Caenorhabditis elegans: one gene and its partner. The protein of the gene in region 1 interacts with the protein of each later gene in a biochemical or structural test. Each region holds a gene or a part of one and is shown in the gene's direction. Other genes may lie near its edges.

Region 1 (6,925 bases):
AAAAATTACTTTAAAAAATACTATATTTGCGCAGAGTTATGAGGTTTTGAAATGGAATCAAAATTAGCAAATTTTTGGGATACTGTAGATTTTAATGGGAAAATCAAACTGTAACATAACCTAAAAAAACACTTACCTGGAGCTCAGTTTAAGTTTTAAATTATTTCAAAATCTCAAAAATAAGAGGAGTTATGAGTTTTAGAAATTTGGTTTTTAATTTTAAAAACATTTAAATTTTGAGTCATCGCAAAAACTCTTGGGTGACTGTAGTTTCAGCTCTTTTTTTTAACTTTTTGAAAGAATAAAAGCCTTTCATTGTGGGCTTGTTTTGAGCTAAAATTTATATTAAAATCTTGAAAACAACCGGAGTTATACGTTTCAAAAATTTAGAAAATTCAAAAAAATTTTTAAAACTATTTTTCGAGTACTTTTTTCAAAGAATTTAGAGAAAAATTAATAAAATATGCAAAAACTCATTAGTTTAAAAAAAAACGACAAAAAAATTGAGGCCAGAAATGAAAAATTGGCTTCATTTGTTTTTGTGATGTGTGTACACCCTTTGTGCCATTTACTTATGGCTTCATCAATTTGTTTTTCTTCAATTTTTCGACTGAAAACAGGAAAAAAGCAATTAATGTGCTTACTTTTAGAATATAAAAAACCAGAAATTTTGAAAAAAAAAATTATTTTTTAATTTTTTTTCCCAAAATTTCCAAAAAAATCCTTTTTTTCAAAACTTCTCCACAAACTTATTGTATTTTTATGACCTCAAATTTTAATACAAAAATATTCAAAAAGCTGCTCGGCGAGCCATACAAAAGTGTATAAAAATGAGAGGGGGCGATGATGAACAGAGAGAGCTCCCCGGTCCTCGGCACAAAAGCAAACAATTTTTGAAAAGGGGAGGGCGGGGAGGATATATTGAGTGGAAAGAATGAAGAAAAGGAAGAGCAGTAGCTTAAGTGGAAGGAGAATCCCCCAAAGTGCAATTTTATTTGGAAAATTTGGAGCCCGGGGCAATTTTTTTGGTCCCGCTACGAAAACCCTCGGGGTACTGTAGTTCGTAGTAGTTTATTTGAAATATGACACTATCATCATAAAGTAATATTTCCGGTTTAAGCTGCAAAAAAATTACATGAAAATCTTGAAAATGGGCTGAGTTGTGAGCACTTGAATTTTTGGAAAAAAAATTATTTTCGAAAATTTGGGTCCTTTCACGAAAACTCTTGGGGTACTGTAGTTTTGGAGGTAGACGTAATTTTAAAATATGTTTCTGGTAGAAAATTGGTTTAAATTGATTTTACAAAAGAAATTATCTGAAAATCTAGAAAACTGACAAAGTTACAGAATTTTCAACTTTTTAAAAATTTGGGCCAATAAAAATTATTTTCGAAAATTTGGGTCTTTTCACGAAAACTCTTGTGGTACTGTATTTTTGGAGGGTACTGTAAATTTAAAGTAATTTTCTTGTAGAAAAATAATTCAAATTAACTATACAAAAAAAATTATCTGAAAAACTTCAAAACTGACAAAGTTACAAAATTTTCAAATTCAGGAAAAATTTTACTATTTTTTTAATTTTTTCATTGGGTTGTGCTTTCAAAAAAATTTAATTAAAACCGCAACACGACCGCAACGCACGATGGAGCAGGAATACGTTTCTGATTAGTGAAACTTTGCTCCCTGATATTTTGACCAGAAAATACGGCTTGTAATCAAATTTTGCAATAAAAACCCCGCGCCGGAACATTTTTATCACTCTCGGAAACCGTATACAAATACTCGAATTTTTCTTCGTTTTTATGCTGAATCACTATGAAATCCGTAACTGTATTCTTGTTGGCTGGTACCACGTTTGCTATTTATTTTGATGGGAAAGGAAGTCGGCACTCTTCATCTTCTTCCGAGGAGCACGGAGGTCATGGGCCTCGACCAGGACCTGGGGGGCCAGGACGAGGAGGCAATTGCAGCCCTGGATGGTTGAGATTTGAGCGGCAAAGCGGAGTTTGGTGTGTCTTTGTGAGTTTAGAGTTTCTTTAAAAATTTCAACTTTCTAGACCACTTGGGAGCTGAGATACAGCTGTTTCAAATTTACGACCGCAACGCAGACATCCGACTTATCAAATTTTGAAATTGTCTCAATGAAATTAGTCCACCCCTAAAGTTTTAACTGAATAACGTCAAAGAGAGCTGAGTTCTGGTATTTTGAATATTGTAGCCCTACCGCGACGCGGCCGCGACGCATGGTTTTTTTGAAGAATTTGAAATTTGAAATTTGAAATTTCATATTCAATTTTGCATGTTTTTCTTATTCCAATGAAAAAATTTGGGCATTAAAGCCTCAGTGAGAGCTGAGATTTAGGCATTAGAAAATTTTAGACTGACCGCGACGCGACCGCAACGCAAGCCTCAAACTTGAAACAGATGTACTTTGGCTCACAGTTGAGCAATTGCGCCGGAATTTTAGCAGCTTAATAATCCAATGTAGCTCCATTCAATTAATATGTTTCCACTTATTAGGTCGGCCTAGCCGGAATCAACGACAACTCATTTGCACAGAAGGACGGACAAAGCGCCTGTGTGGCTCTTGGAGCCACATTAACCGGATTCCAAAACGATAAAGAACGTATGGCTGTGGCAGATGAAGCTGGAAGAAAGCTTGGAGCCGCCGGCGGAGGAATTGCCGGACTTTGGTTAGGAGCCACAACTCGCGCGGGCTGCAAAGCTGGCGCATGTGGACCACTGAACACCTTTATGTGGACCGATGGTGTCACTACTGGCACAGCCGGGCTTAAATGGGCTACTGGAGAGCCTGATAGTGTGGATTATCCGTAAGTGGAAAATTTTGACTTTTGTCCCAAATTGAACAGACTAGGAAAAATGTTGCATTTTCAAAATTACGTAACTTTATTATTATTATTATTATTATTATTATTGAATACGTTTATTTGAACGTGAAAGTAAGAGAAAAAAAGAGGAAAAAAAAATACAAAATATGAATATTAAGGGATAATACAGAGTGGGAACGGGTTGAGGCCTTGTCATTTGGGTTGGGACCTTATCATTTCTTAATGTGTTCAAAAAAGGGATAAAGTTTGTGTCTGATGAACGAAAGTTAAGAATGATTGCCTTTTGCAGGGTTTACTATAGCACTGAGAACATGATGAGTGAAAAAATGAGTTCGAAGTTTGCTTTTGGGAGTTTTCCACCTGTAGGCGTGGCTGTTCCTAGTTCTTTCAGAAGGTTTGAACTCAAAAAACTGTGAGTGGTCTATATTGATTTTGCCCGCTATTAGTTTCCTAATGAGCTTTACATCTAAAAGCTTTCTTCTATCTTCTAGAAGCTCCAGACCATACAATTTCGATCTTTCAGCTGAGTTTAAGTAGACTTTGTCTGTCCTTTTAATCACGCGCCCAGCTATTCTAAACATAAGTTTTCGTGTGAAGGAATTTTGGACCGATTCTATTTCTTTAACCATACTTTTTTTAAAGGTGTTTGTAACCGGAATTCCGTATTCAAGGAAAGGTCTTATGAATGTTTTAAAAAGAAAAACCATTAACTTTATGTTGTTTGAATGAAACGATTTGAAAACATTATAACTTGAATATTTTGCCTTATTTATCGATTTTTGCCAGTGTTCTTCAAAATTCAATTTATTATTAATGAAGAATCCAAGGTCTCTCACTAAAGATTCTCGTTTTATGATAGAGTCCTCAAGCTTATATATTAGAGTTTTAGGGTGTTTACCTAGACTTATGCAAACGGTTTTATCATGGTTTAACTCTAGTGATGAGCTTTTGGACCAATTCAAGATAACATCGATTGCTTCCTGCAGATCATTAGTGGGATTAGTTTTATCAAAAGAGCAATATAGTTTGAGGTCATCAGCGTACTGCATATATTTTACAGTTTTAGGAATTTTTTCACCAAGATCATTTGCAAATATGCCGAAAAGTATAGGTGAAAGTACGCTGCCTTGGGGGACACCGCATGGGGCGTTCCTAACAGAAGATATAGAATTGTTCACTTTTACTTTGAACGTACGGTTGGAAAGGAATGAGTCAACCCATCCTATGAGCATTGAGTTAAACCCGGCCTTTATTAATTTTTCAATTAAGAGTGAATGATTTACTTTGTCAAATGCTTTACTGTAATCAAAAAATACTACATCTACTTGATCCCCTTTTTCTAGACTCAATGTCCAATCGTTTAAAGCGGAGAGTACACAGGTTGTGGTGGATCGTTGAGGGAGAAACCCGTGTTGGCTGTTGGACCAAAAGTTAGTATCATTGAGAAATGGAAGAATTCTGCGAAGCAGGCATCGTTCAAACGTTCTACACAGTATTGAAGTTATAGAAATTGGACGGAAATTATTGACGCTTGTTGGGGTTGGCGTTTTTGCTAGGGGGAGGGCAATTGACTCGGTCCATTTTTTAGGAACCTGTTTTGATGTCATAGACATATTAAAGAGCTGGCTGAGAATACTTGCAATTTGAGGGGATATTAGTTTTATGAATTTAGCGGGGACGCCGTCAGGGGTCAAGGTTTGGGAGCTAGGGATTTTATTTAACAATTTAAGTACCTCATCATCAGTTATCCAGATTGGGGACTGATCAGAATTCAAATGAGCGTAAGAATTGGTAGTTACAGGACTTATATTTGTGTACTGGCTTTCAAAGTGATGAGCCAGACATTCACTTTTATCAATATCAGTTCGTACAGTTCGTCCATTGGGATCTGTGAAGTCGGGGATTATGTTATTTCTAGGTTTGAGGACAAACTTGGAGTGATGTGAGAATTTACTGAGTCCTTTCATTTTTAAATAATTGAGTTCGCTATTTTTTTTTGTACTTTTTGAGCATTTTTCGGAATTTTTTTGTGGTTTTTATATACTCATCAAAATCTGCTTTGGAATGAGAATTAGCGGCTGTTTTCCAACAATAATCTACATGCTTTCGAAATGATACTAGATAATCTGGTAGCGGACCTTCGTTACTGTCAACAGTGATCCAGGGAACCGTTACACTGAACGCATGTAAGAGATAAGAGATAAAATTATCATATTTTTGAGACACTTCATTTCCATGCCCTAGAATGGTGGTCCAATCTGGATTAGAGAAAAGGGAGGCTAGAAAATCGGTGTTTATATTTCGATAGTCTGCCATATTGAAGGTTACTGGCGGTAATTTAGAAAGAAGATCAATTTTGAATGTAACTTTACAGTGGTCTGAAGACCCAATTGGACTACTTCCCTCAATATCTAAAATATGAAAGTTACTGAAGACGAGGTCTAATAGGTTTTTGCCTCTCGTAGGTGTTGAGACGTTTTGATGAAGATTGTTGTTTATACAAAAATTAGCTAATAGTTTACCGGCATCTGAAGACCCTGAGACTGGGTTAGAAACCCAGCTAATTTCTTTTATGTTAAAGTCCCCCGTAATAATAACGTTTAGTTGGGGATCTATTAAATTTGAAATGGATATTAGCAGTTTGTTAGTCATTCGGATTTTACAAGAAGGAGTTCTATAAACAGTAATTAGACGAATCGGTGAAGCCGTTATGTCTATGTCTAGAGCTACTTTGCTCATTTTTTGAATTTTTGAATTATTTTTGATATATGATGTAGTTAGATACTTGTTTAATTCAAAAATTCAAAACAAAAAAATTTTTTCGAATCATAGGTGTAAATTACCATAAAAACCTACAGTAAAGAAGTTTTAAACAAAATAACTGATGTTTTTTTGGAATTTGTAAACTTCAAAAATAGTAAACTCCGCTCGCTTTAAAGATTTTCAAATAAACTTTATTCAAAATGTAGCTCTGATACTCTTCTAGTCAGCACAACAAAATTTCAAGTAAATGTTAATTAATCCTAAAACACCCAAAGAGTTTTCCTGACGGCCCAAAGTTTCAAAAAAAAAAATTAATTTCAAATAGTAACTTGGCTCAATTTGAACTTTCTCAGATTTCTTTTATTTTTAAATATATGTAGTAAATTAAATTTTATAATAAGCTCAGAGAATGTGAGAAAAATTAGAATTTTTCAAAAAAAAAGTTGATTTTTTTGTTTTTGAAAATTAATAACTCTGCTAATTTTCAAGATTTTCAGCTGAATTCTGTCTCGAAAAAAAGCGGATTTTTCAAGTCTTCATAATAATTTTTTTACCAGAATCCCAATATTTTTCAGAGGAACCGCCGCGTGCATCCAACAATTCATCATGCTCCCCAACTGGGTACCCGGACCCTATGACCTGGAAGGCTTCAGAACTGGCTTCACACATGGAATTCTTTACAAATTTTCGTGTATTGCTCCAGTGACACCTGGAACAAGAATGTTTGCTTGTGGAAAAATGGCAGCTGGTTAAATGAAATTAAATGTTTATTTGGATTTTTGAAATAAAATTTTTGAAATAAATTTTCAGAAGTTTTTAAAACAATTTTTAGTTTCTCAAAATGAGCAAAAAAATTTCAAGACTTGCATATTTTAGGAGATTTTTAATTTAAAAAATATTAAAACTGTTAAAATCTCATTTTTTGACAAAACTACAGGACTCCAAAAAAAATGTTTTTTTTTAAAGATTTTTTTTTAATTTCAAAGTTTTATAATTTACTCAATCATTAAAATTTTCAAATGATTTTTTTTAATATGTAAAAATATTTATACTTTCAGAAACTGTGGAATTTCTAATTTTTTTAGCCAAAACTACAGTACTCCCAGAGTTTCCGTGGCAGGACCCAAAATTATTTTAATCAGTATTTTTCTGAGTTGATATGTATGTCATTATATACACTATAAAACCTGTTTCTTGCGTGGATTTCTTTTTATCATTTTTTGCTGTCTGCGTCTCCAGTCTCTCGATCACTACATCTTCTCTTTATTCTCGTCACTAATTTATATTTTTATCATATTTTTTAAATATTGATT
Region 2 (6,197 bases), on another chromosome or scaffold:
ATTAGAATTAGTTGGCATTATATTTAAAAAGTTTAAACATCAGTTAACTGTGTAATCAATTTTTTTCTTCATCTTTCTTATCATATAGTTTTTGTTTTGCTTGAAATTTGTTTTTCTCTGATATCATCATTCTGACTACAATTTGAGAAAGATTATTTTTTCTTGATCCAATGTTTTTATTTTATGGTTAGAAAATAGAAAGAAAAAATCTTTAAATTTTGAATCAGATTTGGAATTAAAATAGAAATATTGAAATTTCAGATTCGTACTTATTTTTCATATTTTTCTCTCTATGTGCAATGTTTAAAAGTGGAGTAGCGCCAGTGGGGATTGTTTCTAAATAAACCTATAATGATCCAAAACGACCAAATATCATAATCAACCACTCCTTTTTTTTCCGGACAAAGTTCTGGAAAATTGACAAATTTTTGAAAAATATGAGCTTTTGAGGAAATCCAAAGCAATGTCGTATGTTTTGACTCTTACAATGTTTAAATCCAAATAAATAAAACAAAATTACAATATAAAAAATGCAGAAAAACAAATTTTTTTTTGGTCGAAATCCAAAATTATGAGTGGCAAAAACTGAGTAATTGTCACTTTTTGACAGTAAATAAAAAAATTTTGAAAACTTTTTTGAAAAGTTTTATTATGATATTCGGTTATTTTGGCACCATAGGAATGGTTTTTAACAATTTCCCCCTGGCGCTACTCCACTTTAAGATTTTAAAAGCTTATGTAAAACCACACGTTTGATCGTAAAACGTTTAAGCCTAGTTTATTTGAGCAGTAAATATATCTGCATGGGAGCAAAATTGATTTTAATTATGAGTTTTTTTTCAAATTAGTAACAAATTAACAAACTTGAATTGGTCCGATTTATAAATTTTGATAAAATAAGTGTTGTTTTTCCAATTAAAAAAACTATTTAGTAAAAGTATTGTCGTTGATTTTTCCTCGTCGCTAATTGAAATTTCCTGTCAAACTTACAGTTTTTGTTTAATTTTCTACATAAAATATTCTCAAAAGCGAACCAAATTTTCTGTTTTTTAAACGGATAATAAATCAAATTTTGGTGCTCATCTCTTATTAAAGGCTCATAATATACATATAACGGATCATTTCTAGATGTGGGATATCAAAAATCTCAATCTCGTTCTCCACCCTGACCACATCCCAAATGATGACCCAGCTAATTTTCCAAAAAGTCCCATTTACCACCAATAAGTTCGGTGACGCAAGGTGGGCAATCCTCCGTCAATTTCTTGCTTCCCAGCACTTTACGAGCAAACACACACAGCGACTCTGCCGAAGAAACGAACCACACACACCTTTGACGTTCCCAGGCCCTTCCCTCCACATCATTCGCCGATGTTTACAGCCTCTTCGCCTCTCCAATGTTTTGTCGTTTTTACAATATACAAGGTGTGCGGGTCTGTCAGTTTAGGAGTGGATGGAGGAGGAGGAGGTGGTTGATGGCGTGCGTGTGGTGATGTTTCTCGAAAACAGTGTGGCAGTTTCTTTTTCTCTCCCCCCACTTGCCCTCTTCTGTCCATTAGAAGAAACTTTAATTGAATTTATAGGACTAGAATTGAATTGTAATTGGTATATATTGCTGGAGTAAATTATTAATTAATCGCTTTGATCTCTTGTTTCCTCATTCTACCCCATTATTTATCTATAATAGCTTATGAACCTCACCCCATAAATGCTCATTTTGCAGTGTCACAAAACTGGGAGCCGGCGTTTGATGAAGCTGAAACCAGCAAAGAGCAAGAAGTGAGACGAGAAAAGTCCAGAAAGACATGCGGTGCAATATAAAGCGATTATTCACTTTGGCGATCGGAGTTTTTGCGGCTACACTGGTTATAATCTCGTTTTCCAAGGACAACTATGAAAGTAAGTTCTAAAATTGTATATGTGTTGTTTATTGGTTGAAAATGATTATTTGAATTCGCTAGAAAGGAATAGTGGCGATAGCAATCGATAAAACAAGAGAGAAACTATGCCTAAATGTGGCCTATAACATGTGGGAGTTTTGTGACAATTTTGTCTTTATTGTCTATATGAAAATTTAGATCAAATCTCAATTTCCGAAAAAAATGGAAAAACTTTAGACATCTTTGAATACTATTTTAATCAACACTTTTCCACAAAAGTTTTTATATTGTTCCTAGAAAAGTATTAAAAAAGTAGTAGAAAACTTTTTGACAATGACACGTTGGAAAAAATTACAAAAAAATGTTTATGAACTTTGTATTTTCTTGAAAATCTGGCAGTTTGCCAAAAATTTGATTGCAATTTTTAATAAGTCTGAAACGTTCTACATATATAGATTTTCGTAGTTTACCCATTTTGATAATATTTTTACTAGGCCTATTCGAACTTTATAATATTAAAGGCGGAGTAGCGCCAGTGGGGATATTGTCTAACTACACTAATAATGATCCAAGAAGACCGAATATCATAATAAAACACTCCAAAACATTTTTAGATTTTTTATAATTTCCGATCAAAGTTTTGGCAAATTTCCACAGTTTTGAAAAATATGAGCTTTTGGTGAAATCTGGAGCAACGTCGCATGTTCCGACCCCTGCAATGTTTAAATCCTAATAAATAAAACAAAATTAAAGCGTAAAAAATGTAGGAAAAAATAATTTTGGTCGACTTCCAGTATTATAAGTGGCAAAAACTGAGTAATTGCCACTTTTTGACAGTAAATAAAAAAATTTAGAAAACATTTTTGAAAAGTTTTATTATGATATTCGATCATTTCGGCATTTTAGGAATAGTTGTTAACAATTTCCCCACTGGCGCTACTCCACCTTTCAATTATCTCTCTTTTCTAACAGTTCTTATGATAACTATATTTATTAAACTCTGGGCCTGTATGACTAAGTTGATAGTTTTAAACAAACCATTCACAAGGTTTCTCCTAAATAATCTTGCATCCATTTTCAGGAGAATGGAAACAAGGACCTCAATCAAACGAAGCACGAGCTGTAGGCCACCAGAGTCCCGACTTGTTTCCAGTCGGACAAAATAGTCTACCACACCAGCCAATTCCTCCAAGCCTTGGCGAGAAGGATCTTAGTGATCCATTCAACTTCTTGTTTTCATCTAACAAAATCACTTTACGCAAACTTTATGATCTCACTAAAAATGTAGATTTTGATCAGTTAAGGCAGAACGAGTGCAAGAAGAACATCACGCTTTCAAAGTTCTGGGAGAAGTCTGAACAGTAAGTTTTATATTTTGAAATTTCAAAAATTGAAAATGAAAATGAAAATTTTAACACCAGCTGCCAGCAAAAAAAAATCTCATCACTGTTTCAGGAGAAATGTGCCGGAAGATGACAACTGGGAGAGGTTCTACTCAAACATTGGAAGTTGTTCGGTGTACTCGGATGATCAAATGATTGACAACTTGCTGCACGATCTCAACACAAGTCCCATCAAACACGTGCACATTATGGATGGAGGCACTCAAGTGAAATTTGTGTTCACCTTCAAAAACGATAAGCAGGCCGTGTTTAAGCCGATGAGGTTTGATGAACAGAGAACACCGGAAAATAGTTGTTTTCTTTCTTTTTCAGATTTGGACGCGATTATGAATCGGATCCGAATCATTTCTACTTCAGTGATTTTGAACGACATCATGCAGAAATCGCAACTTTCCATTTAGACAGGTTAGTGGATTAAATAATGGATTTGTTTTTGTTAGAGATGGTTATCAATTTTTTTTTTTAAATCGGTCAGTTGAATTTCAGAGTGCTCGGCTTCCGACGAGCAATCCCCACCGTTGGACGAGTTCTCAATATGACAACTGAGCTGTTCGAAAAAGCAGAGAAAAAACTCAAGAAGACTTTCTTCTTCTCTCCAGGTACAGTTGACATCAAGACACCAAACCTGTTCACCACATCAATTTTATAAAAATAATTCCAGCCAAAAACTTTTGCTTCGTGTCACGATGCGATTATTACTGCGACACGACACATGCAATTTGCGGTCTTCCTGATATGAAGGAAGGCAGTGTGCAAGTGTTCTTACCCGACGAGTCAGCAGTTCCTCGGAAGCATAATAGGAGTCCGTATAGACGGTAGGTTGAAGGCCGATGGATAATAAAATAGCTAGCAGACTGTTTTCAGAACCTACTCGAAAAAGAATCAAGTAGCTGAATGGCAGTCGAGTATGAATTATTGCACGGATAAGGTGAAAACCAAGCGACAATATGCTCATGGAAGAAGGTTACTTGATCTGGTTGATATTCATATTTTGGATTATTTAATAGGTAAGAATTTGCAGTTGTCAAATTTTGAACATAAAAAACCGGTGGTGTTTGCACCCTCCGAATGGATGGTAAATATAGAATAACTGTACGGAATTTTTTTTTCGTATTTCTGACAGTGCTACGAGTATTAAAGTTTCATAACTGTTCTGTATGAGGAGAGTAATTGAAAGACAGCAACTGTACAATATAGAATTTGCTGCTCACAGTGCTTTTTATGGACCTCGTTCAATGTCGGGTGCACATTTACCACAAGTTTACTAACATTTTATTATTAACCAAAGACTAAACTACAAACATCCAGGAAACCAAGACCGTCATCACTTCGAATCCTTCAACGTGTTCAACGATCTTCCTTCCTATGCGATCCATCTCGACCATGGTCGAGCATTTGGCAGATCTGACTTTGACGATGACGACATCATTCTCCCGCTCCGACAATGCTGCATCCTACGTCCATCCACTTTCCAGACCCTTATGAATTTCTACAGTACACCAAAGTCACTGACGAAAGCCCTACACGAGTCATTATCGAAAGATCCAGCCCATCCGATTTTGGCTTATAAGCATTATCCGGCAATGGAAAGGCGGTTAGCAAAAAGTAAGTATTGAAATTATATTGAAAGGTTACCGAAAAACCTGAAAAATATTTTCCTGTGAAAATTCCAATTTGGGAATACAAAACTTAAAGAAAAAAAAACAATTTTCAGTTATGTCTCACATACTGGAATGCTTCGAAAGCCGGGGAGTTGCCGAAGTTCTAGTTGCCGAGTACAACAACCCCGATGTCTCAGACGCCGAGCAAAACGACGAAGAGCAAAGCGAGGAGCATCAGGATAAGAAGGATGATAAGAAAACTGTTTAGTCGTCATTCGTTAGGTCTTCTCAATTTTACCAAGGTCATGTAGTAGCATTTTAAATTTCCCTCTTAAACTTCAATGTTTCTTTGCGTTGCATTCGGGTCTCGAGCTTCTTTCACTCTCTGTTATTGTTGTATTTTTTCTTTTCACTTCCCCCCGTTTTTTAAACCCACAAGAAGGTATCCCATCCATCGCTCCACGGTTTCTCTCTGGTCAAACATTCATTTATGAGGGTCATATTATGTAGGTCAAATCAAAAACAAATCGGTGTTATAATATCGAAAAAATTTCTCGAAGAATTTGAAAAGTAACCTGATAGTTGTTTTGTGTAGAATTTCTGTTGAATATTATGATTATATATTCTCAGCTCTTTTTTTGTCATTTCTTTTTTTTTCCTATTGAATATCATACTTCTTTTATCAAAAGACGCAAACTTACTGGGTATATAATTCTCGCTGAGCAATGTGGCTGCAGTGCTCCATTTCTTGTCAAATCGGTTGTTTTTTTTTCTACTTTCAGGACGAATCATAAATGTTGTGATTAAATTGTTCTGTGTTTTTTTTTTCATTTCCAGTACAGGAATTGTTATTTTCAGAGATCAAGTTTCAAGGAATTTTTTAAAATTTTTTTAAAAAAATTTTAGTTTCAAGTAATTAAAATTTTGACAAAAAGTGGACCCTAATGACCGAATATAACTGTTCAATATTGCTAACAATTTTCAAAATTTCAAAAAAAATTTCAAAATTTCAAAATTTTTTATGATTTTTCAACTTTGCAAAAATTAAAAAAAGCGGCCAAATTAAATTTAAATTCCCGCGCAAATGAGTGACGTCATTTTCAATATTTTCGCGTTTTCTGGCTTAATTTACCAGGTTTCCTTGATTTCATCTTCTGCATTTGAGTTAAAATTCTGTTAGTCAATTTTTCGAACACTTTTCTTTAAAAAAATATTATAAAAAATATTAAAATTGTCGATTATTAGGTTGATTTTGAAATTTCCGCTTTACGGAAAAGTAATTTAAAAATTGACAAACGGTGTTTCTAATCAAA

What was found. The genes of interacting proteins can lie anywhere in the genome.
Region 2: of the proteins of clec-261 (region 1) and famk-1, one has a biochemical effect on the other in vitro, tested with the Caenorhabditis elegans proteins (one study listed by BioGRID).

What each region holds. Positions count from the first base shown.
Region 1 is NC_003283.11:20,289,379-20,296,303, reverse strand, and holds clec-261 (C-type lectin domain-containing protein), read left to right. Parts: upstream 1-1,815; coding exon 1,816-2,019; intron 2,020-2,520; coding exon 2,521-2,831; intron 2,832-6,187; coding exon 6,188-6,365; 3' UTR 6,366-6,416; downstream 6,417-6,925.
Region 2 is NC_003284.9:15,208,786-15,214,982, reverse strand, and holds famk-1 (Extracellular serine/threonine protein kinase CeFam20), read left to right. Parts: upstream 1-1,723; 5' UTR 1,724-1,750; coding exon of another isoform or gene 1,751-1,783; 5' UTR 1,784-1,805; coding exon 1,806-1,899; intron 1,900-2,961; coding exon 2,962-3,241; intron 3,242-3,335; coding exon 3,336-3,545; intron 3,546-3,595; coding exon 3,596-3,688; intron 3,689-3,769; coding exon 3,770-3,882; intron 3,883-3,944; coding exon 3,945-4,098; intron 4,099-4,147; coding exon 4,148-4,290; intron 4,291-4,591; coding exon 4,592-4,888; intron 4,889-4,997; coding exon 4,998-5,152; 3' UTR 5,153-5,694; downstream 5,695-6,197. UniProt on the Caenorhabditis elegans protein: Golgi serine/threonine protein kinase that phosphorylates secretory pathway proteins within Ser-x-Glu/pSer motifs.